Drosophila melanogaster: one gene and its partners. The protein of the gene in region 1 interacts with the protein of each later gene in a pairwise test. Each region holds a gene or a part of one and is shown in the gene's direction. Other genes may lie near its edges.

Region 1 (10,598 bases):
TCACGTACGTTTCCAAAGTAGGGGTAATGGAAAAAGTCGACTATTTTACGACAGCGAAACCTGATGTAATGTCAAAAAATCCTGCAATACAGTTAGTGGGCGAAGCGATACGGCTAAGATCCTTTAGGGAGCCTATTAAAGATTTCGACGATGGATTCGCCGTTCAAATTTCAGGAAACAGCAGTGAAGGCAACAAGGATATCTATACAACTATTGATGGCAATATAAATGTTGCAGATTCTATTGCGGCAATTAGAAGCAGAAGAATTGATGAGGAAAAGCTCCATGGTGAGAACTATTTAATTATTCATTAGTCGACTCATATTGATGTTGTTACTTTGCTTTTCTTCAACAGATGACGGGCTAGACTCAAAAGATATTTTAGCAAAGAAATCAGTGGTATTGTATTCAATAGATACCGAAGTTCCTGTCCGAATGCCGCTTGTGAAAACTATCTACAAACCTGGTCACCTGGACAGTGAGATTGATATGGAAAGAATATGTCCGCAAAAAGGGTTATCGACGCAGTTGTTAGTTTTAATAACCTCATCCCTTCGGCATTCGGCAGCCAGAATGTCCATACGGCAGACTTGGATGCACTACGGCAGCAGAAGGGACGTGGGCATGGCATTTGTCCTGGGAAAAGGCAAAAACAAATCGGTGAAGAAGGCCATTGATCAGGAGGATTTTATGTACCAGGATCTGATAAGAGGACACTTCATAGACTCGTACAACAATCTCACTCTGAAGACCATTTCTCTGCTGGAATGGGCTGATCTTCACTGTCCGAAGGCTAAGTACGTTCTCAAGACGGACGATGACATGTTCATCAACGTGCCGAAGTTATTGACCCTCATTAGCACGCTTAAAGCCAATAGAACGATCTACGGACGACGGGCCGAAAATTGGAAACCCATTCGAAACAGGTGGTCTAAATATCACATATCCAACGCTCAGTATGGAAAGCCTACCTTTCCCTACTTCACCACCGGACCCGCCTACTTGCTCACTGGTGACATTGTTCACGCTCTGTATGTCCAATCCCTGAATACTGCATTCTTAAAGCTGGAAGATGTCTTCACCACGGGCATTGTGGCTGAAAGTCTGAACATCCGGCGGGTAAATGTGCGCGAGATGGCTAACACCCGGACGAAATTCGAGACGTGCCACATCCGCGACAAAATTACCATCCATATGGTAAGGAATAACGAGCAGTTTACCTTGTGGAATATGTTATTAGACGACACCATAAAGTGTGATAACCAGGTATAAAGAAAATGAAAATTATTTAACAATTTTTTACAAACAAATAGTTATATACGCTCAACAAAATAAAAAAGGAAAATCAAGAATTTAGAGCGCACTGGTTGGCTGGTACACATAGAACTCTTCATCCGCAGACTTGCTGACCCGCAGCTTTCCCTCCTTCTCCAGCTTGCTTAGGTGGTGGTTCACGTTATAGGCGGCGGCGGGCCAGAGGTTTTCTGGTGTCTCCTTGTAGACCACCTTCACGACGTCCATAGCCTGCAAGTTTTCGTTGGGCCGCTGAACGAAGAACTGCAGGATTTGCTGTTCTCGCTGGTTGCGATGGTTAATGTAGTACTCAATCTTGCCAATTGGTTCCTCAATGACATTGCCATGGCCTGGAAAGATACGCTGCGGCTTGATGTCTAGTATCTTCTCCAGGCTTTTCATGTACTCAAATAGGTCCTCGAAGACGGCGGTGCCCTCGCCAAGGATGCAATCGCCGCTGAAGAGTGTGCCCTCGTTCATGGCCAGCACCACATGATCAGTGGTGTGACCGGGTGTGTGAACCACCCGCACATTCGCCCCCTCCGTGGTGAACTCTTGGTTGTGTGCTAGCGGATGGAGTTTGATATCCGTCGGTATCTCGGGGCACACATCTGGAGCATCTGTACGCCCAAACTTGAATACGCGGCAATCCTTTTCGGCCAATTTAGTACCCACAATGCTCTTTACACCGCCGACATGGTCGTGGTGCCAGTGGGTCAGCAGGATGGTGTCGATGGAGGCCTTTTCCTGCTGTAGCACATCTCCCAGGTGAGCGATGTACTGCGGCACGTCTTCGTCACCAGTGTCGATCAAGATTCTCCTACTGCCACTGCCGAGGAGGTACGTATTGGTGCCCTGGAGCGTCATGGCACTGGGATTACAACCCAGTATCCGAATTACGGAGGAGGTGAGTCTGGTAACAGCCGGAATCAGCGCCATCTCTTCGTTCACTAAATCTGAGAAAGCGATAAGTATTCCGATTACTATGCACAATGAAGTTTGCGTTATAGTTACATAAATTAAGGAGGGAAATGAAACACTTAAGGAAAATAATATTAGGGTCCAATTTTTTCGGGGTTTTAATGAACTTTGGTCCTATCAAGAAAGGCGCTATTATATTGCTGCAAATTAAACAGCTGTTGGTCTACAGTGCTGTTAACCGTCATAGGGTGACCATAACATATGCATTTTAGCACAGTTATCGACTTATCGAAAGTAAAAACATAAATTTTTAACTTATCGATGTTGCTTTACATCACTAATGTTGAGCTAATCGCGAACAAAATCGGTTTGGTTTTCGGAAGTGGGAGTAATGGTGTTCCCACAAAAAAAGAGGAAAAAATTAGAATATTTGCGTCCGCTGTAACGCAGCCAATTGTGCAAAGCCCTAAAAGTGTTAAAAAGCCGCGTTTCATCAGCAGGCTGCAATCGAAAAACCTCCAAAAAAATCGAGGGCAACGCGAAATTAAATCAAAAACTGCTTCGCAGCAACAACAACAAATCGCTTCGTTTGCCAAGGTGTTAATGCTTATTTATTTATAAAACATGCCCCGCATGACTAATGAAACGGGCTGGCGTTATTAAAATCGATTAATGCCGAAATACGCGCAAAACTATAACCAGAAAGAAAAAATTCCCCAAGCCACACGATTTCCGTGGTGGCGCCTGGGGCCCAGCAACAGCAACAACAACACAAATTAGGATAACAGAAGAGTAACCACAACAACAACAACGATAGCAATTCATCATCGCTAATTGTCAACAAAAGGCATATTTATTAACGTTAAATAAGCACTAAAAATAAGCAGGCAAGCAAGTAATTATGCTTGACCCTGGTCCAACAATAGCACCATCTCAGATTCCAGCGAACGAGGAAGGGAGACGCAGCTAAACCGCACTGGGAGGTAAGTTTATAATGAGTGAGTCTGACTGCCCGGAGATTCCAAGATTTCGGATGGACAACGAGACTCGGCGACGCAACGATGACGATGCGTCGTTGCCTAGGGTTTTTGTTTTGTTGTTTTTTTTTTTCTGTTATTTTATTAACACACATTTACGTCTGCTTAAGCAACCGACGAGCGCACATTTCCAAACTCCACGGCCGGACATTGCACCACCAGTTAGCCCAAGTCAAGTGGAGGTTTCATTAACGCCACCTAACCTCCACGTCGATGTGGCGTTCCTCGTATCACTGGCTTGGACTGCAATAATGCTCGATTTCTGAACAAATGTACGCAAGAAATCAAATTATTACCCTCTCATTAGCGTTAATTTCTCGAAGTTCTACAATATTCTGTAGAGTACCAGAAATGCGTTCCCACAACTTTCTTATCAACGAATAGAATACCAAGGCAAGATTTAGAATTTGTAGGCTAAGACGTTTCCGCTTTCTCGTTAGTTCCTTAGTAAGTTTAGCTTCTTGAGAGCACAACAAAAATGAGTTTGAAGAGTCATTTTTATTTCCCTACTTCAATTTGCATTTAAAATGATTTGCGGGAAAGTTAAATGTCAAATGATCTTTGCTTCTACTTGTTTCAATGCAACGCACATCTATGTGATTAAGCTTTTTGTGAACTCGGTGTTTTAAAAACAAATGAAACGGCGCTGTTAACTGCCAACTGGTAGGAATACAGATTTTAGTTGAAATTTATAGGTACTTCGTTGCAATTTCTTTTGAAGACTTTCATTAGCACGATCCGGAGTCCAGCTGAATCTTCCTGGTCGAAACTGTGATTGATAGTGGGCCGTTGGAGATGAAGATAGTTTCAAGACGCCCGAAAACCCGTTTGCCGTCCAACCGGCGATTATCTGCGGTTCATTGTACTTATTAGCAGAGTCGGAGTGGGGCCACGAAAAAAAAAAAAATATAACCGACCGCCAGCCGGATTGGAAGCTTGGATCCACTTCCGTTCACCACTCCCCTCGCGAAGCCTCCAACTTTTTCCGCTGAATCCGAGTTACACTTCATCAAATTACGCGCTCTCGTCAAATTTCACGGCTCTTTGGTAATTTTGCACACAATTACAAGGCACTAAAAGCAACTGCTAAAACATGTGGAACAATTACAGTCAAAGTTCTTTAAATTGAACAATTATATGCCTAGTGAGTTATGGGAACTGGTTAGAAATCCATGGAGAACATTAAATTTATTACTGTTTATAGATTTAATTATGAAGAGAAACCAAAGTTTGGGCTGATAAAAAGTTTATTTTTTTTATATGACTTGCTAGAATAGAACCTTTAGTTCATAGCATATTCAACATGTATGTTTAATGTTTATATCCCGCAAGGGAAATGAAAGTCTGATAAGAAACGGGTCGCGATTATTACAGAAATTCAAAGTAAAATGCACATATACTAAACGATTTATAAACTGTAATTAACCAATGCATAGAGAGTGATTCATCGTCTCATCGCACAAGATAAGTCACACTTTCACTCTTGATGGAAAAACAAAGGGTTATCTCTTATCAATGCGCTGCACGTCACGCTGCGGATCTAAATGGAAATAGAATTTCGCTGTACTATGTGTGCGTCCGTCCGTTCAGCTTCACGATAAGCCATAAAAACACGATACGACATTGTCGGATTTAGCCCCCCAAAAAAAATTCCATTGTGCTCGTACTCGTGGCTATTCTTTCCGGTTCCCGGCAGACAGTTGACCAAACCAGACCACATCGATGAAGTTGATCAGCCCATTTGACTGATAAAATATTTCGCGAAGCTATTTTAATTAAATGTCACTGTGTGGATATCAGTATAGCATTATCGCAATAAAGAAATAATAAATGTTGTGGAACAGTAAATTTGTAGTGATTATAATTAATTGATAAGCTAAAATTCTTAGAAGTTAGCCATTGTCTTATCAGCTTGCGTTTAACTTGCCTGACCAAGTGACCAATAATGAAAATGCTTGTGTTGCATTTAATAAAAGATATAAATTGCATCTTTTTAAAGGTTCTCATTCTATCGAAAGAAAAAGAAGCAGACACAACTTTTAATTCGATTGGGTTTTACCTTGTCGAATTGCGACTTAAGGTGTTCCTTCACCTCTGCAAAGCAGATAAGATAAGTTTCAAAAACTTGTTAAATGGTTTCAAAACGATTTTTAATCATAGGTAAAAGGTAGCAAGTAAGATAAGTGATGTTTTGGCAAAAATGTTTCAATCGTCATTTCCTGACAGTTATTTGATATCTAGGCACGTGTAAACAAATAAAGAAACTATGATAAAATCCGCATTAAACTCAAATCAAGCTCAAAAACATATTTTTGGCTTTAAGAAAATAATTAATTAGCCAACAAACATTCTGTGCAAATAAATAAACATCTTTAGTATGAGGTATTTGAGTAAGATATATGACTTACCATTCTCCGCTAGACAACCAGATAAGATTTGTGTTATAAGATTGATACGAACTGGCTTATCGACAAACAATTAAGGTAGCACAGTTACCCAGAGTGACGCACTTGGGGATTTTCATTGACTATTCAAGACGGTTCGGGGCCAAATCGAAAGTTGGTAAAAGAGTTACGAGGTTCTGAGTCCTGCTGTTTTATTGATTTTTATATCGAGCTGTCGCAAACTACTACCATTATTTTTATGGCGTCCTAGAGAAATGCCCAATAAATCTATAGATATACATATAAAGACTACTGGAATTCTGAGAAAGCCCTGAAATACCCAGATGGGATCGAACGATAAGAAATCTTATCGACCAGGCGGCCATGGAACGCGACTCAAGTGGTTCGTTCGCTGCCACCTGGAGCATGGAGCATGAGTCTGTCCGGTGCTTTGAGCTCTGTTCTGCCTCCGTTGGGGTTCTCTTGAGTCGCGGAATAGGGTCAAGACTGTTGTTGACTTGTTCGAGCGCATGCAAAGTGGAGACAGAGCCGATGGCGATGTCGTGACGATTCTGGATGCTGTGCGTGTGTTCTCCTTTTTCTGGCAAATTCATTAGCCCACGGAAACTTCCCAAATGCTTTTCAGTTCGTCACTCCCATTACCATGCAAAACAGCCAAGCCCTTCGCTCGTGTTTTCCGAAATAAAATAGCACATTCACACAGTTCAAAACTAAGCATCGACTTTACTATATTTTTGAAAAATATTGTGCAAAAAAAAAAATGAAACAAAACGTTAATTACGTTTAAGTGTTCTTTTGTAAACGTTTCTTAAAGTACATAAGACGCTATCTTTATTTTTGTAGTGAACTCCAACTAGCTCACTCTCTACACAAATATTTGCATTATTCCTCGCCAATGGTAAGAAAAGCAACAAAACTGAGTCTTTGGCCATACTCGACTTTGAAATACCATTCTATATTGGATAAGAAAATATTTACGATTTAATTATACACTTAAATGTTTTGAACGAATTTTTATTGCCATTATTATTGTCGTTTTATTATTGCGGAAATAATGATCTAATCGCTGGACAGAAGTGCGCCCTCTCTCCTTCTATATCTTATAGCGCCGGGCATCGGAGCACATAACAAATCAGCTGAATCAGTTATTTACCTTTATTTCCGTTGCGTTCTCATTGCAGTTCCATCGCATTCGTTGTCGGAATCGCAAGCGTGAGGGATCGTTATCATAATACTCACAAATTGAAGACGAGAAGCGGAGTCCAGACTGAAACTGAGACCTAGACTGACTGAGATTTGAGAGATTTTGCAAGTGCCACCATGGCGGCTATGGCCAATCTTCACAACACGCGCATGCTACGCTTCTTTTTAGTCCTAATCGTGGTGATCCTAACCATTTTCATCTACGCCTCGTACTCAACGACTAGCACCCTCACAGCGAACCATGTGCACCCTGCGGCATCACCGCCACAGCAGCTGATTGGCAGTCATCCTGGGCGACAGCCCATGGACCAAGTGCCGCCAGTCAATAGCACGGATAAGGAGTACAATTCGCCACCTGGTGAAAGTTCGTCTAAGCAGCAAAGCGTATCCAGCAGACACTCGCAACAATTACCGCCGCAACAGGCAGAGATACACAAGAGGCATCCGCAGCACCGCCTGCCCACCATCGACGAGGATGCTCTGCTCGACGGTGGCTCCGCGGGCGCCAGTCCCCAGGTTGGTGGCCCTGACCAAACGCCCAATGTTATGGCGGATGAGCTGCTGGAGGAGCAGCAGTATGGTCAGAGTGTTGATGGCATCACAGGTGAGAGTGGGTGCGCTTAAGACTTAGACGCTAATTAAGCTAATAATGTTTATTCCACAGGCAACATCAACAGTAGCACCAACAACAACAGCTCTGCCGACACGTTGGCTGTTAAACAATCGATTCCCGCCCAGTCACCACAACAACAACTGCCCCAGTCACAGTCGCAGGTGCAGCCAGGCCTTTCCGATGCCGACCTCCTCATACCCACTTCCAATTTGCAAAAGTTTATTGAGAACGCCGATAGGATACTGAAGAACATCACTTCGAACAGTAGCACGGGTAATTATTATACTATTACTTAGGGGGCGCTAGACCTTTGAGACCTATTAATCCAGGTTTCAAATTGTTAAACCAGATCGATAAACAGTTTAGTTGCTCCTTCAAATTGATCCTCTTTCTGTTTCATCTTGCGTAATAATTTGCCTTAGTTTTGTTTTGCTTAGACAAAGACCCGCTGGCGGCGCACCCATTTGTATAACTCCACGACAATGGAGAATGAAATGTGCAGTCCGCTTATTTGACCAGGTTTCGTGTTTCATTATGAAAGAGCTGTAAACATGACATATTGTTTCATACTATTGGATTACTGTCGAACAGATGTCTATGGGGACGGACTAGAATTCGCTTGAGTGTTTGTTTGCATTTCAATTAATGGTGTGGTTTATCTTTCTAAATAAAGGCAATCCATCGGATATGGCACAACTCAACGCAGTGGACGGTAAACTGGAAGTCTCGGGCGTTGAGTCCGAAAAGCAGGAACCGGAATCCAAGGTGATACAGGAAATTAAGGAGGCCAAGAAAGAGGCGGCAGTCCCTCTGCCAAAATCCGCAAAACCACCAGTGCCACCTGTGAAAACGACGAAGAGCAAGGTGCCAAGTGCTCCTGTAGATCCCTCCAAGGGAGTGGCCACCGAGACACTCTACGAGCCAGGCCACGTGGATGAGGAGATCGATGCGGAGCGCATATGTCCGAAAGGCGGAGAGTTTATTAAGCTCCTGGTTCTTATTAGCTCAGCGATGTCTCACGATGCAGCCCGCATGTCCATCCGGCAGACTTGGATGCATTACGGGACGAGAAGGGACGTGGGCATGGCATTTGTCCTAGGACGTGGCACCAATGAAACCATAAACAAAGCGCTTACCCAGGAGAACTTCATCTATGGAGATCTGATACGGGGAAACTTCATAGACTCGTACAACAACCTCACGCTCAAGACAATATCGACGCTGGAATGGGCAGATGTGCATTGCCCGAAGGCAAAGTACATTCTCAAGACGGACGACGACATGTTCATCAATGTGCCCAAGCTGCTGACCTTCCTGGACAAGCACAAGGACAAGCGTACCATATACGGTCGTTTGGCCAAGAAGTGGAAACCGATTCGCAATAAGAAATCCAAATACTATGTGTCCGTCGATCAGTTCGCGGCGGGAGTATTCCCGTCCTTCACCACTGGACCCGCCTACGTACTCACCGGAGACATTGTGCACGAACTCTACGTGCGATCTCTGAAGACCGTTTATCTGAAGCTGGAGGACGTGTTCACCACGGGCATAGTAGCCAAGAGCCTTAATGTTAAGCGGGTGCAGGCGAACGAGTTCGTTAACCGACGCATCTCATTTAACCCGTGCAACATCCGCAACGCAATCAGCGTGCACATGATCAAGTCGAACGAACAATTCGATTTGTGGAAAAAGCTGCTGGATCAGACCACCAAGTGTAAATAGTATTTTAAGTTTAGGGTGTAGTTTTTCCGGTATGAAGAACACAGTGTGGTCTTTCGAGAAAAAAGGGGCGAACATATATGTAATATGGTAGGAGTAGAGAATGATTAGCAAAGGCAGCTATATAGGATTATAAAATTAGACTAGTCTCTAAGTCCTAGAAATATCACAAATTCTGTTGTCGATCTCTGCATCCGCCTATATGCATGCGATCCAACAACGATTCGAGTACATTTTAAAACATCTGTAGTTTAATTTTAGCATTCTGAATGCCATTATTTAAATGATAATTACTGAGCGATAACTGTGGTTATATATTAACACTAAATACATTAATGTATATTGAAAGAATCACATAGTGCCTTTTCATTTCGAAGCGCTTCCCAAATAATACCTCTTTCTGGAAGTCTAATGGTTTTGGATATTTGAAGCCTTCGGTATTATTCAAAAAATAAATAATTCTTTTTCATCGTTCCATATTGTTGATTTCTGAATGTTGGTATTTTTCCAGGCCTTAGACCGCAACAAAAAATACCGCAACGGAGCAGTTATCGACTATTCGATAAGCTGAAACAGTAATTCGATTTATGAAAACCCGCCAAACTTGAAAACAATGGTAGTTATTTATTTTAAAATTTGTTAGACATACACTTCGTTTAACATAAATGTTACAAAGTTAGTTGTTACACAGGCGATATTACAAAAATAACAAATAGGTCTCATGGGTGCCAATCCGATCAATACATAGGTAATTTTGTAAAGCTCAAGAACTTGCTACGGTTTTGTCACTCAAACGATAAAGACTTCTTATTTTGATAATACCTTTTACCATGTTGGAGTTGCACATATGGAAAATTCTTTGCATGATTCGGCTAACAAATAACATATCTAAATAAATTGGTACTAAATTTATATATAGTTATGGTGTATACGGTACGTGGGATCGTTGGATCCAACAGAGCTCTCGTGTGGTTTTGTGGACTCACATCGGCAACAGCGAGTGGCTAACACTGCTCTCATGCGAAACGGGTCGCTCGATGGTCATTGAGGACTGCGGCACCTGGCTGTCTGTGCTGATTCCCAGGCTGGCATAAATCTCCTTCATCACGAAAAGGATCGTATCTTCGGAGCCCCTGCGTTTGAGAAGTCATAATTGGTAAGTAAATCTATATTTAAGGAGTAACTCAAGGTGATAACTTACCAGTAGCACACATGGCTGCTCAGGGCGAAAATATATTCGTTGATGAATTCTAGTGGAGCTTCCTGAAGCACGTAGTCCACACGTTTTGAGTCGTTCAGCTTACCCAGTGGGAAATCAAGTTCTATAAACTCAGGGTCAGAAGCCGTCGTCGAATTGGAATCGGTGCGATTTCGTAGTTTGCAAGATGAACTGGCAACTGAACTCTC
Region 2 (7,913 bases), on another chromosome or scaffold:
GAAAGGGGAACTCGGTGTCGATGTAGTTATTGGTCCACTTGTAGTTGGACTTCAGTTCAAGGAATTGCAGGCAGGGGTCGCAAACGAAATGCGAGAAGTTCATCAGCGACGTCTCGAGCAGCACCTCCATTGACTCTTGCATACGGAACTTGACCTGCAGTATAAACCGCGAGATCTTGCACATGAGATAGACCGTCCAGGTGTTGAGGGAGATGTCCAGCCAGCCCTTTCCCAGGGCTCGGAGGACCACGGTGATGACCGTTGTCAGCTGTTGCGGCCAATAGACTTTAAGAAACGTGGCCACGTTGTCGCTATGCGCCTCCTGCGCTTGCAGGAAGTCCACTAGCGCCAGGGGCTTGCTAAAGCTGCAGATGAAGATCGAAAGTGTTTCGATGTACTGGCACTCGATGGCCACTCCGGCCATGGCCTCGATGCCACCGACGCAATAAAACAGACTGGCCTTCAGGTAGTCGTACCGCTTCTCCTGCATGGTTATGCCAAGGGCCTGCAGTTCAAGACGCTCCTTCCCGGAGACGTCCACGGCGAAAGACCGGGGCAGAAATTCCTTGAGGTTGATGTTCCGAAACTGGGGAAATTCCTTGGGCATCTTAAGGATAAACTGCTCCAGCTCGTATAGGGCCATTAGGCGCTCGAACACCAAGTTCACCTCGGAGCGTAGTCGTCTTTTGCACTGCTCAGACACCTTAGCCGCCTGCAGGACCGATTCGATGGGCTTAAAGCTATAAAACACGGTGGACTCAATGTCCTCGTGCAGGACACAATCCACGATCAGCTCCATCAACATAAGCTGCTCCCCCTTGTGCCGCTCGTGAACAGCGGCCTGCAGCCGCTTGATGTACTTGTGCGGGTCCTCAGCCATGAACATGAACTGAAGCTTGGGTACCGTGTAGGTGCATCCGTCCTCCAGCGATAGAAGCGTCCAGAGGTCGGAGTCCTCGTGGTGCGCGGTAACAGCTGCCATGCCCCACTGGCAGTTCAGCAGGCTTTGGTTGTAAGGCAGGTACGCCTTCGCCGGAAGCGGGTAGTGCGCATCTCCGACAACTCCCAGCTCAAACCAGGCCGCCGGAGAGTTGATGTCAAAGTTGCTGTCGTCGAAGTAGCTCAGGGGAAACTTGTGTGGGAAGGCGAACTCGGACATTACATTATACTGCTCCTCGGTGGGCTGCAGCACGTCGTCAGTGAGGCCCGCCTTGGCCAGCTCATTCACCAAGTTAATCTTCTGGTACTGACGACGCCTCCGATCCACTTCGACGTCCTTTGGAAGATGCCGCTTTGGCACGTAGCGGGTCTGGATCACTTTCGGCAGGATCGTGGGCAGCGGAAAACGGTGTGCCTTGCCCATCTTGTCCATCAGAGTGAGCCATCGTTGGGCCTCCTGAATGGGGTAATATACATCAGTAAGCTGATTCCGCGGAATATATAGCTCCTGATAGTTCATCATAGTCGTTCCCGGTCGGGGCGGCATGATGCAAATAGCTTTCTCAGCCTCACGCTTGAATTGACTGTCATCCGGGCCCTTGTTGCTAATTGAGCTGGTGCTGCTCTCATCGAATTCCTGGGAACCTTCATAATTTTGTCCCACCTCTAAGTTCTCCGGATCCATATGAAATATATTGTTAAAGTGGATTTAAATGAGAAAGTGGCGTTCCTTTCAAAGCAGTGTATTTGTTGATTGTTACAAAGCCCGAGCATTAATTACTGCTGTTTAGTCAAATTAAACCAAAAAATTCGATTTTATAAAATTAATGTGAATATGGCGGTCTCAGCAATATTTAATATTTTTATTAAATTATATGTAAACTATTTTATTTCCAAAAGGATACATTGACTTCAGTAAGGTGTTTGCATCGCAGTGAATGAGGCATTTGCGACCATATAAAGCTCACTTTATACTTTCTTGATCAGTATGAACAACCGAGTCGAAATAGCCATATGAACAATCGAATGTAAAATTTGGTCGTTTAATTTGGTATACATTTTTTACTACATTTTTTTAATTTTGAACAATCTTTAATTTCAATTTCAAGCTTCCGTTGTTGTTTATTCATTTTTTATTATTTAGCGCACTTTTATGAGAATTATTTTTTTTGCCGTAAAAGGTTTTACTAAATTCGATAAAGGTAAAAAGAAGCATTTCCGACTCTATAAAATATAATATTCTTGAACAGGCCAACAAGCCGCCCCAAACTACGACGCTAACACGCAAGACTTCACGAGACTTTCACTGTCACAATTACAAAGTAATTTGATTGTAATGCGAATTTCTATAGATATACCATTTTGCAACATCTCGCTCGCAGTAATGCGAATTTCTATAGATATACCATTTTGCAACATCTCGCTCGCAAAGTCGAGGAACCCTCTGACTTTTGTCTGTTTTTCGTCCCTTATAACACCAACAAACCGCCCAAAACTCCCACGCTTTTGAAAAATTTTTTAAATAGTTTATTTTGTTTTTTAAATTTCCTTCGATCTGCTAAAAGAATGTTGGAATTTCTCATTCGCACTTAGTATACGACTTGAGTAACAGGACTTTTAAAGTAGGGGAACTCGATCTTGTTTTGATTACAAGAAATATTAAAAAACATTTAACATTCTACATTCTCTAAATATCGTTTTTATGATGACAATGCTAAATAATGGGTTCCGATAATATCGATAAGTACCGAATTCTCGAAATTCGGTCACTCTTTCCGGAACGGAATCCACAAAGATCATTTTGCCTCGTCTCAGTTCAGCCTTTTTAGATTTTCCATAGCCAGATCTAGATTATCTAGAAACGGAACAGCCAGAACTAGATTATGTCTAGCTCAAATTATTTGGTAAAGAAATCAAATAAATCAAATAGTTAATTTAGTGTAGAATTAAACATGCCAAAAATTACAATCCTGCCACAGAAACCTTTATTTAAAGTTAACTACAAGTTCAAAGAATATTAACGGCCTGTGAAAAGTATTCCCCTCGCAGTCAATTTATGCTTTTGCATTTCATTTGGCTGAGGGTATACGGGTATAGTCGCGACGATCCATATTATTTTTCTGTTTCCTTGGTACCTTCTATGCAGGTTATCAAATCACAAAGATTTTACGCACAATATTATTTAATCTGTAATCCCTATCACAGTCCTTGCGGGCTTCAAATAACCTAAGTCGAGCTTTAAAAATGCTAAAACGGCAACACTCGTGCCAACATTCTGCTTAGTTGCTGCCAACCCAATCTAACATGTTCGAAGTTGCGAGACCGTTTTGTACAAAAATATATTTAAGCGACTGGCAAAACGCGCTCTCTTTGTTGCTGAACGATTTCACTCGCGTCGTCGTTTCCCAAGAAATCCGAAAGATATGGCTAGTTGACTAAGAAGTAATTCGATATTAATATATTTTTTTGGAAGCGCATATAGTTTTATTGGGCTAGATCGCATTTTCTGCATGGTGAAGTCCGTTACGATATGTTGTCGGATATATTTTATGTGCGGTGAGATCCAACGCGGTGTTTGTGTGTGTCTTTTGTTGGCGTTGCTGTTGTTTGTAGCCATCGCCATAGCCATCGGCATCGCAGCCCGCGGTATCGAAGTTTCAGTATCAAAAGCATCGGCAGCCAGCCCAAGCTGAAACTAGTCGATTGTTCAATTCCCAAAAGCGCGGGCCCTTTACACTTGCGTTCGTTCTCCTTCGCGAGTGTGTATTTGTGGCCGTGCACAAGTGCATTTGTGTGTGTGCACTCGGGATTCCTCTTCCATTCCAATCGCCGCTCGACCCCCCCCCCCCCCTTCCACACCATACCTCGCAGGTGAGTATCGCCACAGCCGCGAAAGCATTTTCCAGCTGCTCCCCACCCTCGCCTTGCGATTCGGTGATATTAGTCATCACCGCCATTGCCTGTTTGTTCATGGTTTAATTAAAAAAGTGGCGGTAGTCCACTGTTTCTTGCTCTGCTTCCCGCCACGCCCATTCGCAGCGGCAGCGTCAGTAGGCGATGCCGAAGAGAGTCGCCGTGAAGCAACAGCCAACTAAAAGAGCAAAAGAGCTCACACGTGTCGGTGGCTAAGAGAGAGCGCACAGGGGCGTGGGTGCCCTTCGTGAGAGGGATGAATTATTATTCCAAAGGATTGCCCAGACTTGTTTTCATAGATTCTCTGGTAACCTATTCGTACTTTAATGAATTAAATATTGTTTATTGGATTAATCTGGTTCTATGAAGTGTAAAAAACAATTGACCCTTTCGGTCTACAACTGTAATTCATGAATCACTTATTCAATACAATTTTATATTAAGTAAATTTTGTTGATAACAATGGAAATTATATTGTTGACCATTGTTTCCCAATCGAGATAAAAAAATTCATTATTTGAGGAATGCGGGTATTAGCAGTAGGTACTTCTATGCTACTTCGAATACATAGAATATTTCTTCTTTTTAGTGGTACAACTTCTTCCGTATGAGAAGTATTTTAGCAGCAGCTTAGGTATAGCAGCTAATTCCTTATCCTGAGAACTGACTTTAAATAGTATTAAATAGCCGAACGCATTTCGCTGTCTTCATTGTCTACTGTGTACCTTTGTTGGGTAAGGAGTGCAGTGGTGTGCCGCCTATGTCAGTCAATCAAAAAGTTTCACCTGTCCGCCGAATGCGGAAACGTCGAGAAATGTAGTTGCATTCGCATTTTTTCAGGTTTTTAGGGTCAGCCAACGAGTGCGCTAAATACTTCGATCAGAAATTTATGTATGTGTGTATGTGTGTATGTATGTATGTATGTATGCATATGTATGTATCACCTGGAGAATGTGGTGCGGCATCAATTACCGCTGGCCGGTGGTCAGAAAAGCGAACCTGGAGCTACGTAGAGTCAAGGGCTTTCGCAAATAGATTGCAACAATGCAGTGCTAAAGTGCTAATTGATCGCTTTGCACCTTGGCCCTCGCGTATAGTTATTTGGCTGGCGCGACTGGCTTAGACTCAGTAAACACATTATCTGCTTAGATTGCTCAGAAAACACATCAAATCCAAATATTCATTCGCGTTTACACGGCAAATCTCAAGATTGTGTCTCATTGCCGGGCTTCGATTTTCTCAGAAGAGAGGAGCTATACAATCGGCTGGCTGTATCAGTCACACCCACAAGCAATCTGAAATTATTCGGGCCAACATAAAAATTCGGCCAAAGTCCATGAGATCTTGGTTATAGAGATCGCATGTATTAGTCCTCTGGTTTATATGTACATAGGTGCTCGCTAATATGTGTTTTGGCAGCGCATGCTTAATAAGCACTTTTGGGCTCTGCTATTATGAGGAAAGTTTTTTAACCGGTTTGTCCTATGGAGAAAGAAAAGAACAATGACATCGTACGGGTTCTCTGGCCCCTGAGACTCTCGTCTGAGACTGAGATGCTTGGCCACGATCTTCGTACCATTCGGGGTTAACACATCGTGGGCATAATCATTCGATGGACAGTGACAGCATCGTCAGAGTCAAGAGAACTAGCCTCACCACCTGTTGCGGTGCTATAAAGACAAATGTGCCGTTATCGGCGGTGAGATGGACAGATCCAATTCATGATGGTAATGCGAATCCAGCTATCGTTCGGTTAGGAGGCAAGTCTATGATAAAAGTTTATTAAATGCTTTTGGCATACTTAGGCTCCAGAGCCCTTAAGTAACAAAAGATTTGATATAGCGGTCGATATAACCTATATCTTGAAATATATAATGATCATAATACGCCAATATAAGGATTATAATTCCAAAGGGAAAAGTTGACTAGCGACTGTGATGTCTGGCAATGCAGCCAGTATTTAATTTTAAAAGTATTATTTTTACAGTTATTAGTTTATACAGCCTTTGCCTAATAATGATATCTTATGAATTATATTTAAATACCAAATGAGAACTGTATGGTCGAGTTCCTTGCCTGTTAGTCAGCTAGTAGATGTTTAAGCGAGAATCTTTAATATTATTTTGGCATATCGATAGAAGTGTTACATACATACTTCCCAACGAATCTACTAGGCTATACTTTACGAGTAATGGTGCTCTAAGAATTTACCTCAAAATGGTAAATCGCCTTTATCCTGCATGGTTAAACAAAATATTGTAGAAGAGATGCAATGCATACGAATTTTCGAAATAAAAGAGCACTTTGATATCTTTTGGTAAATGTAACTATATATGTTATTTAAAAAGAAGTAAAAAGCTATAAGTACCATGTACTCACCTTTCCAGCAAATAACATCATTAATATTACAATATTACCGATAGATACCCATTGACCGTCTGCAAGGGTACACAAACTTCGGCTAGTCGAAGCCGGCTTTCTTTCCCGTTTCTTTTTTCGACATTGACGGGACCTACTCGTATACATTTCGCACATTAATTTCATTTACCCAAAGATTCGGACAGTTTTTCTCTGTCGCTTGCTGTTGTCTCTCTCTCATTTTCCCCAGCCTTTCTTTGTGCGTTTTTTGTTTTTTGTTTTTTCTTTCATTGTTTTTGTCGGGTTTTACGTATTTTTGGAAAACTTACCACGCCAGTGTTATGTAAGTCGACCCCTCGATCTCAGCGGCTTCTCCTCAATTTAGAATGCCCGAGGCAGAGTCGCAATAAAACAATAAACAAAACCTCCATTCCTGACACCCGTAACCTATGCTTTGGGAACTATGCATGTGCATAATTACACATCGATGTATTTAAATGCCATTAATGCAGTGCGGCCCTGCGATGGAAACTTTCATCGTGTGTTTCAGCAGCTCGGTCGGTTTTCCGTGGGGTCTGACCTTCCCGAGCAGCCAAACAAATTACAAGTGCACACACATTAATCGGCCAGCCGACCTGAGGTCGTCAGGTGGGAGCGGTCCGCGCGATTCACTTGCGCTTTCGTTTCAATATATCCGACCACGCTTCTGGCGATCCAAGCCAGTGATCGAGGGCCGCCGCCTTTATTTGCTTGCGAGGAGATCGGAATCCCAAGTGTCTTGTGTGGCCTGACTCGATATTTTCAAGACGAGCACTCACACAATTCAAAAAGCATCGCCGCGATTTTCGAAATTTCGTCATTTAAATAAATTAATATTTATTTTTTAACAACGAGGACGGAAGATAATAACACCTTCGCAAATACAATATTACGATATACAAAACAAACAGAAAACAAAACAACAAAACCCAGGTATCTAAGGTATCTAAGAAAATACTTATAAAATTCGCAAAACGAAACAGATATCGCAATCTATCTCCGCACAATATCACAATATGGAAGGACTTTAACCCCCAATTAATTAATGCCGATAGCACTGTTTCTGGCTCCAGCCAACCGCTTATAAGGCAGCTAACTTATAGTTACGATTTTCTTCATTTCTCCCTTTAACCCCATATTTTTGATTAGGTTTTATATATAGCTGGTAAATTTAACGAGAACAGAAAAAAATAATAAGGGAGCTAATCGCCTATCAGATAGAAATAAGCAAGACAAATGATAATATAAAACGATTTCAAATACATTCACAAAATTCTTGATGATTCAGTTTTGAAAAGTTTTTGGCATACCGAAGAAATCCCTTCGACGTTCTAAATATATAAATACAAATATAGTCCACCCTTAACCTACGAAAAATTGCTAAACGAATGTTACGCAGAAAGTAATTGTCAAAAAAAAAAGATTTTTCATTTGACAATGAAAGTATATTATACAAAATTTACCCTTTCTAAAGATTATTTGTTTAATTAAATAATGTCGACTGGTAAAATCTTCACAGAAGAATCAGATTTTATGTTCAGCGTGTGAACGTCAGCAGTTATTTTATTTGTATATATTTTATATATTTAATTATTTTTAAAAAATACAATACCTTTTGTAGAGCATCAGTACACTTCAATTTTGAAACCATATGCGCTACAGTA
Region 3 (7,871 bases), on another chromosome or scaffold:
GTTCAGACTTTATTGTTTTAAATCTTTTTTATACGTGTATGTATTAGATATTGGGAGATCTTGAAGGGGATTTAGTTATAATCACGGGTTCTCTGGGGGCGGGTTGAAAGGAGAATGACTCGTGCATTGGTTTGTTATTCTTGCCTGTCTTTGGTATTTCACACTTTCGATTGCATTGCCTCAGACCTCAAATTCCACGATAATGTACGGGCGAGAATGATTTGCAGAATCGAAAAATGCCACTTGACTTAACCGTTATTTAATAATCAGAAAAGCACCAGCAGAAATAACAATTCCGCCATACACTGAAGTATAAACTAGTATATTTGGAATATAAGTCTATTTCATTAACTTATAAAGATTGAATGGAGTTATTTTTCACATAGAAATTTGTTAAATATACGAATAGGATATAGAACCGTATGGAACTGTATTTTCGGTACCATTTTGTAGATTCTAACCTTTTAATTTTCGAACCGTGTTTAGGTTTTGCAATCCAACGTGTCGGCTGCTTTTGTGGTTTCGAGGGCTTTTGAGACTCCGGCATCGCGAAATCAACGCATCAATCATCTTCGGTTGCACAACTGCAGGGAGGTGCAGTCCAACCAATTGCAGCTTTTCCCAGATGATAATACCAGTTGCCTTCTACCAATATGCTCATTAGCACCAGTCCGATGTAAATTCTACTGCCTTGCTATATAATCGCTAGGGTGATTTTACGAGATTTGCAACCTTGAACTCTGGTTTTTTATTATTGCCAAGTGCGGATAAGGCCAATAATACTAACGAGAGTCCAAAAATAAACAAGCGCCACAAAGAGCTGGATCCGAGTCACAAAAACTCTCCTAAGCTTGGCCCAATAAACAATGGCTTTGGCCGGCGATCGACACCCACCACACCACCACCAAAATTGGTCGTGGTTCATCTGCGTGGCATCATTACGATCGTCATCTGGCGCGGCTCGTCCGATTGAGACTTGAATTGAAGTCGATATTTCTGGGCCGAAGGTTGCGCTATTAAGTATACGCCGCATGTGCTCGCCAAAAACCAAAAGCCAGACTAACGATGAGAAGCATCTCGGAAAAAAGTCATTGTACTCCGCCAGGGAATGAGCTCTGAATAACCTGATGGTTCCGGTCATTAGGTCCCCGTTTATTGCGGTTGGATCGATGGTCGGCAAAGGTGGATAAACGGAGTATATCAAATCGATCGGAAGTCGCGGCCAAGTTCCTTCAACTTTGCGATTATGCAATCGCATTGAGAAATTAACACACTGAACTCAAATGGTGAACTGGTGCACTTTCGTTAATGAATTTAATTAGATTATGAATATTTTTCAGATTGCTTTAACATTTCGATTTGTATGTAAATTTTCTGCAAATGCTCAAGGTTGAATCTCTGGGTATAAAGTGCTTATTTATTTTGATTTTTTGTTCACATAAATTTTACAACTAGGCGTGGCTTGCCGGCACCTAAAACTTGTGTTACAATATATTGTCGTGCGCGGCATTAGTTAAAGGACTAGTGAAGTGCATTCTAACTGGGAAAAACATATCCATGTCTGGTGAGTACAGTCGCAGTCTAAATTCTGATGATCAAATGGAAAATTTCAGAGCAAGCGGAAATATTACCTGCCATCTCTGTCCATATAAGGAGGATCATTCTGATCTAGCATGGTCAATTCATCGTGAGCTTTTCCTCTAGTCATACAGCCACTAGAAAGCCCTTGAATCGATCGTATTCATACTTCCCCCAATATGGCAGACGCGTGTTTCGGATCTGTGAGATGGGATCAGCTTAGGGCGACATGTCTATACATATTCATCGTCTCCCCCGCCGACTGTTTGCACATGTAAATTTGGCGCGGCTAGATTACATGGTCAGTTACGTGTTATTCGGTTAGAATTCCGCAAAAAGATCTTGTGCTCGGCGGCCATGCAGCGGACTTTGAGACGAAAAATGCAAATGTTTGCTTTGTTGCATTGCTTGGGTTTTTTGTCGAAAAACGCATCAAAAGTGCAGGGTAATGGTGAGATTTTTAGCAGGTAAATTAGAATAAAGGTAGTTGAAGGGTCGTTAATTGAGGGTAAGTAAATCGTCAACCAAGCCGCTGTCAAAGTTCGATCTAATTGCTTAGCTCACAAAAATCGACTACGTAACGTTTCAAGCTTGCACAAATAACAAGTAAGCGTCGGGTCCTCCGAAATATTAAGTATCCGCCAGGTTGCCTGCAACATCCAGGTCTCGGTAGCCGCTTTTCCCATTCGGGAATTTGTATGTTTCAGAAGTTCACGGCGCATTTTGGCCATTTATTGGCCATCACGAAGGCAAACGGAGGAAAGCCAAGTATTGGTCATTATAAATATTTAAGAGCCCAAGAGGCAAACTGGTTTGGTCAGCCCCATCTTCTTCTGCTTTTTACCGCATACGTATCCAAAGATTGGGCTTTGTTGCTGGCAACCTTTCCGCCGCTCTCCCTCGCCGTGATTTGATTTGATTTGATTTGATTTGTGGCTACGTTAATTTTTGCACACTTTTCCGATATGAAGGGCCGGGCCTGGGCAGGGGTTAATTAACGGACATTCTTGCCGAACTTTGAACTGTGCAATCATGCGCGCTGCCAAGACGCGGCAAAAGTACCGCTCCGATATTTGGATTGGCGGCAATTAGCGCCGCACTTGGGTGTGGGTGCAAAGGCGGGTGATACCCCCACTGGTGGATACCAAGAATTCGATTCCAAAGGGCCGCTGGCCGATCTCGCTCTCGCTCTGGCATCCTGACGCCCGACCCGATCGCTTCGGCTGTCAGAGCGAGAGCACACATCGACAACCTGTTGCTCAGAACCTGTGGCTAGCGACCGAAGCTTTCGACTTCGGCTCACCTCAACGCCAGCGCCATCGCCACGCTCGCCGAAAATGAGCGGTCGGCGGCGCCGACGATCTGCGTCGACGTCTGCGCCAAGTCCGCTCCTACGACTGCGAGGCGGTATAAAAGTAAAGCGGCAGCGTGAAATCAAACTTATTTCAGTGTTTTTGATTTGAATGTAAAAAGCGCACGCTCGCCCAGTCGCTGTCCAGTTGTTGTCCAGTAAAGTCCAGCGGAGCAGCAGCAGCGGCAGATCGGTCGCATCAGCAGTAGCATCAGCAGCAGTTCCCCGCAACAGTGATGTAGAAACCATAAAACCGTATAACGATGGTCAAACAGTGTGTGCGTGTGTAAAACAATAACTAAAAACCTACAAGCAAGAAAAACGAAAAAAAAAAACGAAACGAAACGAACAAGGATAGTGCGCTAAAAAGTGATAATTCGTATACCAAAGTCGAGAGAATCTCTGTAAATTAGTCAAAAAAAAAAAAAAGAAAAAATAAATAAATACAGTACGCTTCCTTGTAACAAACGGAATATAAACGCGCATTTAGTACCTGTTGAAGCGAATTTTAGCACAATGGTAAGTAGCGGGGGTTCCCGACCGAACACCCAGTGTGACTCAACGGAAAATTGATGCCACTGAAACCTCCTTTATTAAAATGCCTTTGCAACCAGTAATTTCGATGCCGACCCCCAACATGCAAGCCTGAATAAATAAATATACATGATCGTACGTTGACTTGGGCTTTCCGTTAAATCCCACAACCCACAAATGACCCTTTGCACACGACTCGTGTGTGCTGCTGCTGCTATTAAGCAAGAAATTAATAATAAAAAAAAAAATAAATAAAGCTCCTATAATGAATATCCGCAATGCAGCCGTTAAAATTAATTGAGCAAATTATTAATCGAGAAAACCTCTCGAGCACCAGCCATTCCTGGTTCTTATTCGTTTTCTTTGGAAATGGAAAAAAACCGCACGCCAGCAACTGGTTTTCGTTTTCAAGTACACATTCGCTAGCAAGGTTTTCCACTGTTTTTTCCCAAATGCATTTTTGCCGACTCCGCGCAGACCTTTCCACGCTTTTCGCCCACTTTTCCCCCGCTTTCTGCCACAAAACATGAGCGTTTTGCTCTGTTCTGTTTTGCTAGAGCCATTCGCTTTCGAGCTCCGCCAAAAGTGCATACAGAAACTGCAAGTGCTGCACTTATTTCGAAGCTGTCGCTGTGTTATGTCCGCAGTTGCAGCAGCAGCACTTACACCAGCAACATCACTGGCTGGCGGTCAAGTGAAGTGAAGGCTGGCTTTTGGCTTTGACCAGCTCACTAGCCCACCAGCTCACCAGCTCACCAGCTCACCAGCTCACCAGCTCACTGGCATGACAACATTTCACACGGAAATGCAGTGCATCGCTGACCTTGAATCTCGGCCGGGGATATGGGATAACTGGCGATCGGAGCGCAGGTGAAATGATAGCCAGTCAGGGCCAGGCCGACTCATTTGTCCCGTCCACCTTACTTATGCTTTCGGCCCATCATTGCAGATGCTGCTGCTGTGTAGAAATCCAGTGATTTTCATATTCATTCAGCAGCTCTGCAAATTCGAGAGAAAAAACCCCAGTGGGTTAACCAATCGCCGCCGCTACTACCGCTGGCTAATGATCACTGGCATTGCACCATTTCACAAAAAAAAAAAAAAAAGAAAAAAAAAAATAAGCAGGCAACCCAGAAATCGAAACTTATTCAAATCTTCGAGTTGTTTTCTTCTCCTTTTGGCCTCTTACACAATGATTATTACACCTCGATTTTATTTTCGACTGGGACTTTTGCCGCATTTTTGTGTTGCCTCTTTTGACACTGAAAAGTGCAAAGGCGCTGGCGGCGAATTTTACTAGTTGCCAGTTGGCTATGGGCGGCTATGGGCTATCGGGTCTGGGTTGTTTGAGGCTGCTTGTTGGAGCCAGAGCCACTGCCACCCAGCTGCCAAACTGCGCAGCCCCCGCCAAGTGATCATAATAAAAAAAAATGTGCCTTAATCAGCCGATTTGCTTGCATTCCCTGTGGGCCAGTTAGCTACATTGGAGAGCCAGTCTCAGACGCATTGACGTCGCTTTATTGTTGACTGCCGCTCGGCACTCAGCTGTTTTTTGGTAAGAGAATCATGTAGAGAGCATATAGTAAACACAAAACCATAGGCAGAGTGCCCTCTTAGTACTTAGTGTGTGTGTGTGTGTGTGTGTGTGTGTGTGTGAGATAACGCTTGCCGCATGTGACTGAAATCGCAGTGCATTCGCTGCTCCATTTCGATTTGTTTGGCTCCACACGGCGTATGCGCGATTTTCTCAGTAGCTAGCTAGTCTTCGTTCACTTCAATTGCGAATATGCCATTTGGGCAAAGGTTTATTGTTCTACATAAAAAAAGTGCGTGTCTCTCAGCAATTTTTTTACTGGCTGTGTATATTCCCGAGCAAATTAACACTTAAAAACTGATAACGCAAGCGAAGAGAGGAATTCGAGGTAGATAAACGTAAAGAGACCATTAAACGGAGAGTACCTGAAAATGATTACATTTATGGACTCTTATCGGCCCGTGATTGAAGTAAGTGTCATTTGAAATTCAATTATTGCTCGTTGGAGATTAGACAGAAAAGTTATGCCAGTAAAGGTGTTAAAAACACTAAAAATAACAGCTTTTAAATTATTATTCAAACACGCTGGCTTGCATATTTTACAGCTCTTTGAGTGCCTTTTTTTTTTTGCAATTTTATACAAACTCTTCGTTCCCGAAAAAACAATTAATTTATACATATTTGTCGCTTTAAACTGGGTCGGTTGGATGAATTTATTTGTATAAATTAAATTATTTAGTGGGCCATGCTGTCATACCGAATTCGTGATTAAACATATTTCCATTAGTGCGAATTTAGATGGGACTTAGGTGCTAAAGTTGTTCGATTTTGTTTTTAAGTATTTTAAAAATGTTTAATAATATTTTCTAAATAATTTCCTTGTCGTACAACAATAAATTACAAATAAATTCCATTTTAAAGCAACGAACGCATTTGCAGTAATATATTTTCGACACATTTAATCCGAACACAAAATAATTAAATCAACATCAACATTGTGGGGCTAAAGCAAAATTTAAATTAGTGGACAGAAACAACCTGATAAATACGCGAATGTAAAGTGATTGAGGAGCTAAAAGTCATTGCTTGTTTAATTGTGTGGCTAGTGATTTACGGGCTTGGGGGCAGAGAACTTTAGGCTGGGAAATGGCAGCAGGGACGAAAACCAAAGTTCGACATTCCCAATTCGAATTGCATATTATGCCTGAATGCCTGAATCCAAATGGTATGGAACCATTTTTAATGCAATCGTCTAACATAAACGTTCACGAAAAAATCAACATTGGCGGCCTGACAAACGCAATGTAGAATGAATCAGCTAAAATATATCCCCCGAATTGAGGCTTTCAAATGGTATTTGGGGAACTCACTTACACTTACGCACATTTAGCCAACCTGTTGAGTATTTGCAGCTGTGCACTTGACTACTGGCTGAGTTTTTAGTTGCTGCAAAAACTGCTTTGCACTGAAAGAAATTGGTAATCATATAATCTTATTAACCAAAAAATAAAAATGCTCAAAGGTTTCGAATTTTCCAAAACCTATTGAAACTTCTTCATATTACCATATTTCTGACTGACCTAAATAGTTAGTGAATAATGTGGAAAATTAAATCTATTCAATACTTTATTTGCATAATCAAATCATTCAGATGACGAAACACGCCCAAATAAAATGTATATTAGTTAATTAATATTGATACATAATCAGTTAACTTGACTGTTGACCAGATTGATCTTCATTCATTGTAATATTTTAAATATTAAACAAATTGTGTTTTATTTAAAATGTATGCATTCATAAAGAGTTATCTTGATTGTTTTTTGTGTGAATTTCAACAACTTGCAACTTGAAACGCTGCTGCGTTCAGTGAGCGTAGTAAACCGCCCCCGAGAGCAACAACACCACTTCCTTGCGGCAGCACAGCCGTAGCAGCAGCAGCAGCAGCAATACAACAACATACACTCGAAAAAAATTGTCTTGCACTAATTACTGGCGATTTGGGGCCAACGACAAGCGCGCGGCTGGGCAGCAAGAACCACATACAACTCGATTGCCAAATTAACGCGATTTAGCTGCTTTTAAAAGTTGCCGGAGTCAAGACTTCTCTGGCGAAACACACACAAATGCGGATGCATATAGGCCCCGCATACATCTTATTGTTGCGGTGTGGCAAGTGCATTTGGTGCACATGTTGCTGGCGCGTTTTTTTCCGAACTCGGTTAGGAAATCGCCTGCGATTTCAATCGCGTGCAAGTCGCGCGCAGTCTGGTATTCGCTTGAAAGTTTAAAAACGCACGCTGCATTTTCAACTTGACCCACAACAGCCGGGAATCGATCAGCGGGCTGTAATCGGTGCTTTATTGTCTTATTATTAATACTTTATTTTTTTCTGGTGTTTTTTTTTTTAGCGGCTTTCCATTTACCGAAGATTTGTTTACGCATTTAACCAATCGCGGCATGTTGCATCATCGCTTGTCATATTAGACAAGATGCTGCCGGAGTAAAAGTCGCGGTCTGAACCTGAATGTTAACTCCGAAAGCCAGTTGCAGATACAGATTCGTATACACGAGCAAACCCTCCGCGCGCCTCTGTGTTTCTTTTGATCCCCCCTGTTTGTTGGCTGCGCTCAACTTGACCTATAAATTGATTTTTATGTTGCGCAGGTTCGTGCGACTGTGTTTGATTTTTCTTTGGCCCTCCCCATACAAAGCAATTTTTTCTTTAATGATCGAAAATCATTAAGTGCGACACGAGTTTGGGTCTCAGCTCCAATCGGCTTCGATCGATCGCCGATCCCCTGATGCTCCACTCATATGGGTTCAAACCAGTTTGGCCCTTTACATTTATCTCTCATTGCTTTTTCTTTTCCA
Region 4 (6,553 bases), on another chromosome or scaffold:
CCGCTCCCGGTGTCACCGAGACGCCATTCTGACCAGGTTGATCGTCATCGGGCACGTCGAGCGCCCCGACTGCATCCTCCGAGTCCGGCTCCGGGTGCTCCACTGAGCCACTGGCAATGGGGTCCTGGCGGTCGTGGTCGCCATCGCCATCGCCATCGTCCTCTCCTTCGGCACTTCCGCCAATGTCGTGGTGGAAGTGATGCAAGTGCTCGTGACTGTGGTGCTTCGGCTTCTTGCCACTATCCGTGCCCTGGCAGTAGCGTTCCGAGCAGATGAAGTATTGCCGCTCGTGGCAGTTGTCTGCCGACACCATGTTGATCTCGGAGCGGATCCTCACCTCCAGGCAGTCGTCGCACTCGGAGTGCTCCAGTGGCAGGACGTTGCTATAGTTGCTGTAGTAGCGCACCAACCGACCGTTGCTGATGTACTGGAAGCGACCCTCGTGGTACAGATCGTTGCCCCCGAACCAGAAATCCTCCGTGTTGCCCAGGCCACTCAGGAACCCAATGGCTCCGTCGAAGTCCCTTTGGTTACTCAAGTCCGCCAGGGTCAGTCCTTTGCGTAGGCAGTTGTTCAGGGCGCCAAACCAGTTCATCTGAATGGGTTTCATATTATTTCATAAGCCCATGCGACAGATCAACTCTTACCTTTTTCACCGAAAAGTAGTAGCACTTGCCGTTGATCCTGCGCAAATAGCGACGCGGGCAGGGGGGTCCTGATCCCAGGAGCTCGCCCCGCGGCAGGATGCTCAGCAGGGCCACGAGTGCAGTCAGGAGATGCTTCATTTCGCTCGCTTCCGCCGGTGCACAGTGAGCCGGCTCAAATCGCCTCCTGTACTTATATCCTCCGCTGGCCAGCAGTGCGCCCAATCGATTTGGAGCTCGCTGGAGCTGGAGCGGCATCTTCGGCAGCATGGCCAATTCAATTACAAGTCCATGCCGCCGGAATGCCTACGCCAATGTCGTGGGCTAATTTGCTCACCCGCCAGTGGGTCAGGTTTAGGGTCATTCAGTTTAATTGGCTATTAGATACACTCGAAGAAAACGAGCCGGAAAAGTCGCATGGGGTGCTGTAATTGCCAGTAATGTTAACCCTCTAAATTCCTTGATGGCAATTCATCCGCCTAATAATGGGCATATTGCGAGTAACTATTATATCATATATAGATGTTATAAAATTGTAATACAAGTTTAATGCAAATAAATTAAAAGATTATATATATGGTTTTGAAATAAGCAATAATTCTTAGCAGTATTCTAACTCATTCGAAGGTAGCAGAGCTTTCTTCTTCTGGAGTATGATGATGATAGATGGATATAAAATGCTTCAGTTCCTTTGACCCTGATCTGTCCTCCCATTTAGTTTGTATCTGCCGAAGTGAGTTAATTGCTGGCTATGAACTCGCTGGTAATCTTCAACAGCTCAAAAACGCTAAGAATATTAAGTTCTGTGATTCGAGCAACTGGAGTGACTTCATAGTCATTAGCATAACCCGCCCGAAGGGCTAGATGTCTGACCCGGCCTTGTTCTTTCCGATTATTGATTTACCTGGCAGGGTCGTGACATCAGCCATTGGATTGTCCGTGGCCAGGACACGAATCGCCCGCCTTTCCTTCTGTTGCCAGCTGACTCAGACGACCTTCGGTCGGATGACGATTGCGCCGGGTGGCCACAACAATTCGTGGGGCGTGTGAGTACCACGCCACCCCTTTCTGCCACGCGCGCTACTCTCACATATATAATTCTTTCGTATATTGTATCTCGATTGTGCAGTTGTATCTCACATGACATCATCAGCAATGGCAACAACAACGGCGGCCCCAGTAGCTCCATCGATTCATCACGGATTGTAGCTCTTTTTTTTAAGGCATCCAGAACTGGTGTGGAACGTGAGTCGGCAGACCTCAAATCGCAGTAACTCATAGATATTCGTTCCATGCCCGTATGTGTGTCCGTTCCGAGCTGGGTTCCCATGTAGCCCAAGCTACAGCTACAGCTACAGGTTTTCCTCTATCCGAGGCTTCTGCGCATTATTTCAGCTGCGAGTGCGACATCGACGAAAACAAAATCAGAGAGCAAAATCAAAATCCAAAACTAAAACCAAACCAAAACCAAAACAAAAACGACGCCAGAGGCTGTGAGAGAATCTGGGCTTATTGTGTTACCTTTTGGCCATGCTTCTAGCCGGTTTTCAGTGTTGACCACAAGTTGCCACAGTTTTGAATAAAGACTGAAGAACAAAATGCGTCGTATTACGCAAATGCCTTAAATAGGGCCGCTGGCCTTAGGAATTCCGCGTGTGTAAGCCATTAAGATATATATGTACATATATCCAAAGGATTTGGCGGGGAATATTAAACACTGCGGTTGCCTTATACGTAAGGCCACCTTTTTTAAGTTTAATAACTTATCATTCTACGAATGTATTTTAAGTATCTTTAAATACGATTTTAATTTGGAAAACAGCACAATATACTTAGCATGCATCTCTATACATATAGTTACATATTGTACAGTGTAGATTGCACGATTCCTTCCACTTAAATTGCTATTCTAGATTCTAGATTGTTAAGCAAGTCCAATGCCACATACATACATTCCTTAGCCATTAGCCATTAGCATTTGAAATGTCTGAATTCCCTTTGATTCACCCTGTTTTTTTTGAGCAGTAAAAGTAATTTTCAACACCTCGGCCGAGCCCACACATTCCATAATCTCGATACCCAGCAAGCGTAGAATAGAAACTATTATTTTCGCACAATTTTCGGCTCCTGCGGTGGCGATTGGCTCATTAAATGCGAAATGCGAAATGCGAAATTGGCCGAAACTAAATTATTTGGAAATGAGCCGAGTGTATGGGGCCATTAAAGTATCTCTGCGGAGAGAACCGAATCAGAATAAACACATTCCCGATCACAATCAGAAAGCGTGAATAGACCGCACTAGAAACTTGGGGGCGATTTCATTCGCCGGCTGCCCATTATGACATCACATACGCCGAATAATTTGAATACTCGAGCTTTGTTTGCCTCATTCGCATACAAGCATACTGTATATTACAAAGAAATTCCTCGGCTATTTCCGCCCGTTTCCGTTTCGCCCAACCGATTCGCACCCGGTTCCGAGTTGAGCGGCACAATGTTTCTATTTGAGTGGACGCACACGTCACTCCCAGTGAATGCAGATTCGAGGGGACAGCAAAAGCTGGCGCTCGTTAATTTCTATTAAATTGCGAATATAAGTCTCAAGTCTCGAATTTTAAGGCTGACGCCATGGGGCTGGCGATCACGATTTCAACAGCCCCTAGTTGCGCAGTTTCTATTAATAGGAAAGTGTCCCAGTCTAATCGATCCGATTTAGTCATGTAAATAGTTCATGCTCCAGCTGCTTTGTTTATGTTTCGGCAATTACCTGTCTGGAATTTGGAATCTGAAATCTCAAATCTCGCATCTTCGATCTGATCGGCGCTCCACCCTGCTGATTGCAATCAGGCTATAAATTATAATTAGCGCCAGGCCAGAGCTTAGTTAGCATTCAGAGGGCCAGTCAGCATGTTTCCTAGTCGCCAAAACCAAAGTAATCCCATCCAGCCAGCACAGTCAGGATCTAAAATGCACTCCTCATTCAATCCCCAGCTTCCTTGAAGAACTTCGGTGACAAGACCGCCAACCTCTTCAGCAAGAAGAAGGATGAGGCCGAGAAGCTGGCCAACGAGAAGGCTGCCGAGGCCCAGAAGCTAGCCGAGGAGCAGGCCAAGAAGGTGGGCCAGTCCGTACAGCAGACCAAGGGCGAGGCCGAGCAGTTGGCCGCCAGCACGGGTGAGTAACGAACATCCAAAAAATAATGAATGTAACACATAAAAGATGTCTTAGAGAATTAATTGGAGTTATTAATTCTAAAGACTTCCAAAAACTCTTGCAACGAAGAATTGAATGAGTCCCGTTTGAGATAACTTTCAAAATCAACTTTCAGTTCTTGCTAAAAATGTTTTCTCATTAGCATTCCATTTCCAATTTATCTAAAACGCAAATCTTTTAAGCATATCAAACACAAGAGAACTTAATAAATGGAATTCTTTAGTGACGCGTTGACGTAAAACATGTTTCCAAGAATAAGATTCGCATTTTTGAAAACATTTCTTCATAAATATTGAAATATTTCTATAATTGTGAAAAGCAATTTAATGTGCTAGAGATTTATAACTAAACAGAACATCAATGCTATGTTTTATGCTGGAGCAAAGCCCGACCAATTCAATAAATATCTTTAGGAGCACTTTTAAAGATATTTTGTAAGAATTTTTCCCACTAATATCTCTCTTTATCATACAGCCAAGGAAGCCGCTGCTCTGGCCACCGCGGAGGCTCAGAAGGCTGGACAGGCGATTGACCAGGGTGTGAACCGTGCCGCCGGAGCCGTCAACCAAGGCAAGCAGGCGGTGGACAACACGGTGGCCCAGGCGGCGGCCGTGGCCCAGAACTCCAAGCAGGTGGCGGCCAATGTGGCGGAGGCCTCCCAGCGAGCGGCCGCCAATGCGGTGGACCAGACCAAGAAGGCGGCCAACGACGCCATCAACAAGAGCGTGAAGGCCGCCGAGAACGTGGCGGACCAGAAGCTGAAGCAGGCGGAGGGCGCCATCGATGGGGCACTGAAGCAGACCAGTCAAACGGTGGACCAGAAGCTGCAGGAGGCCAACCAGTATGTCGACCAGAAGCGCCAGTCCGTCGAGAAGACCGTCCAGGATGCGGCCGGACAGGCCCAGGAGTCTGCCGGACAGCAGGCCAACGCCCTGTTGGGCAAGCTGCATCTGGGTCAGAAGTAGAGGCGTCTCCCTTCGCGGTGCCACCTAAAATATCTTGATGTGAAAATGCTTTAGATACAAAAACAAAAAAAATAGAAAGGAATTTGCTTCAATGTAACGAGTGCCAGTAATGTGATTGCTAAATCCTCAATTGAATATACACAATATATATATATATATATATTTACATATTTTTTGAATATCGCGCGGACGGATTATTTTGCAGCCGCTGCTTTCGATGTGAGCATTTCAGCACATCCTCTGTCCGTATCCGTACAAAGTGTAATTAACCCCTTCGTTCTTCTTCTTCGGCCGAATTTTGTTACTTTGAGGCATTTGATATTTTATATACAGCTGCGCTGAGTATGCTTTTAATATACGTATATTCTGTTTATGTAGAGATGTATGATTAAGTACCTTTAACTCTTGCACAACACATTGCAAATGTGTTTTTAATATATTGGATTCGAATGAGATTTGTGGTCTTTCAATTGGTGGGGGTGCCACTAAGCAAAGCGTATTATATGTATATATTTGGATATACTGATGTTATGTTGATTATATTATTACTGAAACTTTTATTAACTCATTTTCAATTTAGCGCCAAATGGTGATGTATGGTAATACTGTAATCTGGCCACACTGAATTTACTTCGGCTGCAAGCGCAAATAGCGCCACCTACATGTGGGATAGAACGCTGAATGGTTTGAAAACAGGGTATCCATGTTTTATCTCGCTTTTACCGTTTCATTCAAAAAAATTAAATTACTTTTTAATGAAGTTTTCAAACTACAAGTTTACTTGATGTATTTATTTGGGCTTACTATTTAATTACTGACTTATCTTGGCCATTGGTTGTTCAGAAAATAATATTATTTCTGGACATATTTTGAGCATATAATTACAGCTATATACAATTTCTTTAATAAAACCAATAAATCAGTTATAAATTCTACACATTCCACTGTTCACCCAAAAGTGGTAACATTTTATTTTGCTTCTAAGACAAAAGAAGTTTTTTCCGGCTTACCCTTTCCCCTTCCTCCAGAGCTGCCTGTCTCATTACAGAACCTTTTCACAGATCCAAGGTGAGCAGCAGGGGAAACTTTCGCAGAAAAGCGGACCATGGAGATGGACGGATCTATACAAATAGACCGAAACATGCAGAAATCTGCTAATAGAAGAGGTCATATTGTGTACTCCGATATGTCGGGCAACTTTTCGTCGAACAGAAGCCGAAAGTTGTGTTAGGTTTTAATTATGGGAAAAGTTTGTTGTGGCTAACAAGTGACCCCGGTGCATTGCAACGTCAATTGAACGCACAACTTCAAAGGACCAAAGGACGAAAGGACCAAAGGACGAAAGGACGCTAGGAATGTGTGCAAAGTATTGGCAGCAAAGTGCTGACATAAATTCAGGTAAGAGCGATTTTTAATTTCAGATAAGTGCGCCTGCTGACTGGAAAGGCGAATGATAAATGCATTCCATTTGCGATTCAAGTACTAGTGGGTGCGAGGCGCCAAATTCAAATTTATGCCGGCCACGCAAAAGTCGCGCCAATTAGGTTAGCCCAAGCGAGTTGATTTAAAGTTAAGCGATACGAGCGGCGCGATTAATTACAATAACTGTTTATCAACACATATTAATCATGGTTTAACATGCTCCCAGCTCGTGTTGACCCAAGCAAAATGGCGTGCAGCGGAGTTCCGGTCATGTTGGGTATGCCCACTCCATACCCTCCATGGGCTTCC

Evidence for each region.
Region 2: the proteins of CG8668 (region 1) and CG31523 interact in a two-hybrid assay, tested with the Drosophila melanogaster proteins (one large-scale study listed by BioGRID).
Region 3: the proteins of CG8668 (region 1) and Elovl7 interact in a two-hybrid assay, tested with the Drosophila melanogaster proteins (one large-scale study listed by BioGRID).
Region 4: the proteins of CG8668 (region 1) and CG1648 interact in a two-hybrid assay, tested with the Drosophila melanogaster proteins (one large-scale study listed by BioGRID).

The regions. Positions count from the first base shown.
Region 1 is NT_033779.5:8,124,450-8,135,047, forward strand, and holds CG8668 (uncharacterized protein), read left to right. Parts: upstream 1-2,551; 5' UTR 2,552-3,197; exon of another isoform or gene 3,198-3,523; intron 3,524-6,837; 5' UTR 6,838-6,976; coding exon 6,977-7,463; intron 7,464-7,523; coding exon 7,524-7,745; intron 7,746-8,145; coding exon 8,146-9,194; 3' UTR 9,195-9,540; downstream 9,541-10,598. Other genes in the region: CG8673 (uncharacterized protein), read left to right, coding at 1-288, 356-1,272; CG12375 (uncharacterized protein), read right to left, coding at 1,354-2,232; PAPLA1 (phosphatidic acid phospholipase A1), read right to left, coding at 10,174-10,324, 10,393-10,598.
Region 2 is NT_033777.3:4,474,530-4,482,442, reverse strand, and holds the start of CG31523 (uncharacterized protein), read left to right. Parts: upstream 1-3,235; 5' UTR 3,236-3,381; exon of another isoform or gene 3,382-3,810; intron 3,811-7,016; exon of another isoform or gene 7,017-7,191; intron 7,192-7,913. Other genes in the region: sac (sterile affecting ciliogenesis), read right to left, coding at 1-1,624.
Region 3 is NT_033777.3:7,990,997-7,998,867, reverse strand, and holds the start of Elovl7 (ELOVL fatty acid elongase 7), read left to right. Parts: upstream 1-3,015; 5' UTR 3,016-3,445; coding exon 3,446-3,448; intron 3,449-7,871. UniProt on the Drosophila melanogaster protein: Catalyzes the first and rate-limiting reaction of the four reactions that constitute the long-chain fatty acids elongation cycle.
Region 4 is NT_033778.4:9,809,747-9,816,299, reverse strand, and holds CG1648 (uncharacterized protein), read left to right. Parts: upstream 1-3,525; 5' UTR 3,526-3,551; coding exon 3,552-3,576; intron 3,577-3,635; coding exon 3,636-3,818; intron 3,819-4,331; coding exon 4,332-4,822; 3' UTR 4,823-4,981; downstream 4,982-6,553. Other genes in the region: lectin-46Cb, read right to left, coding at 1-595, 648-785.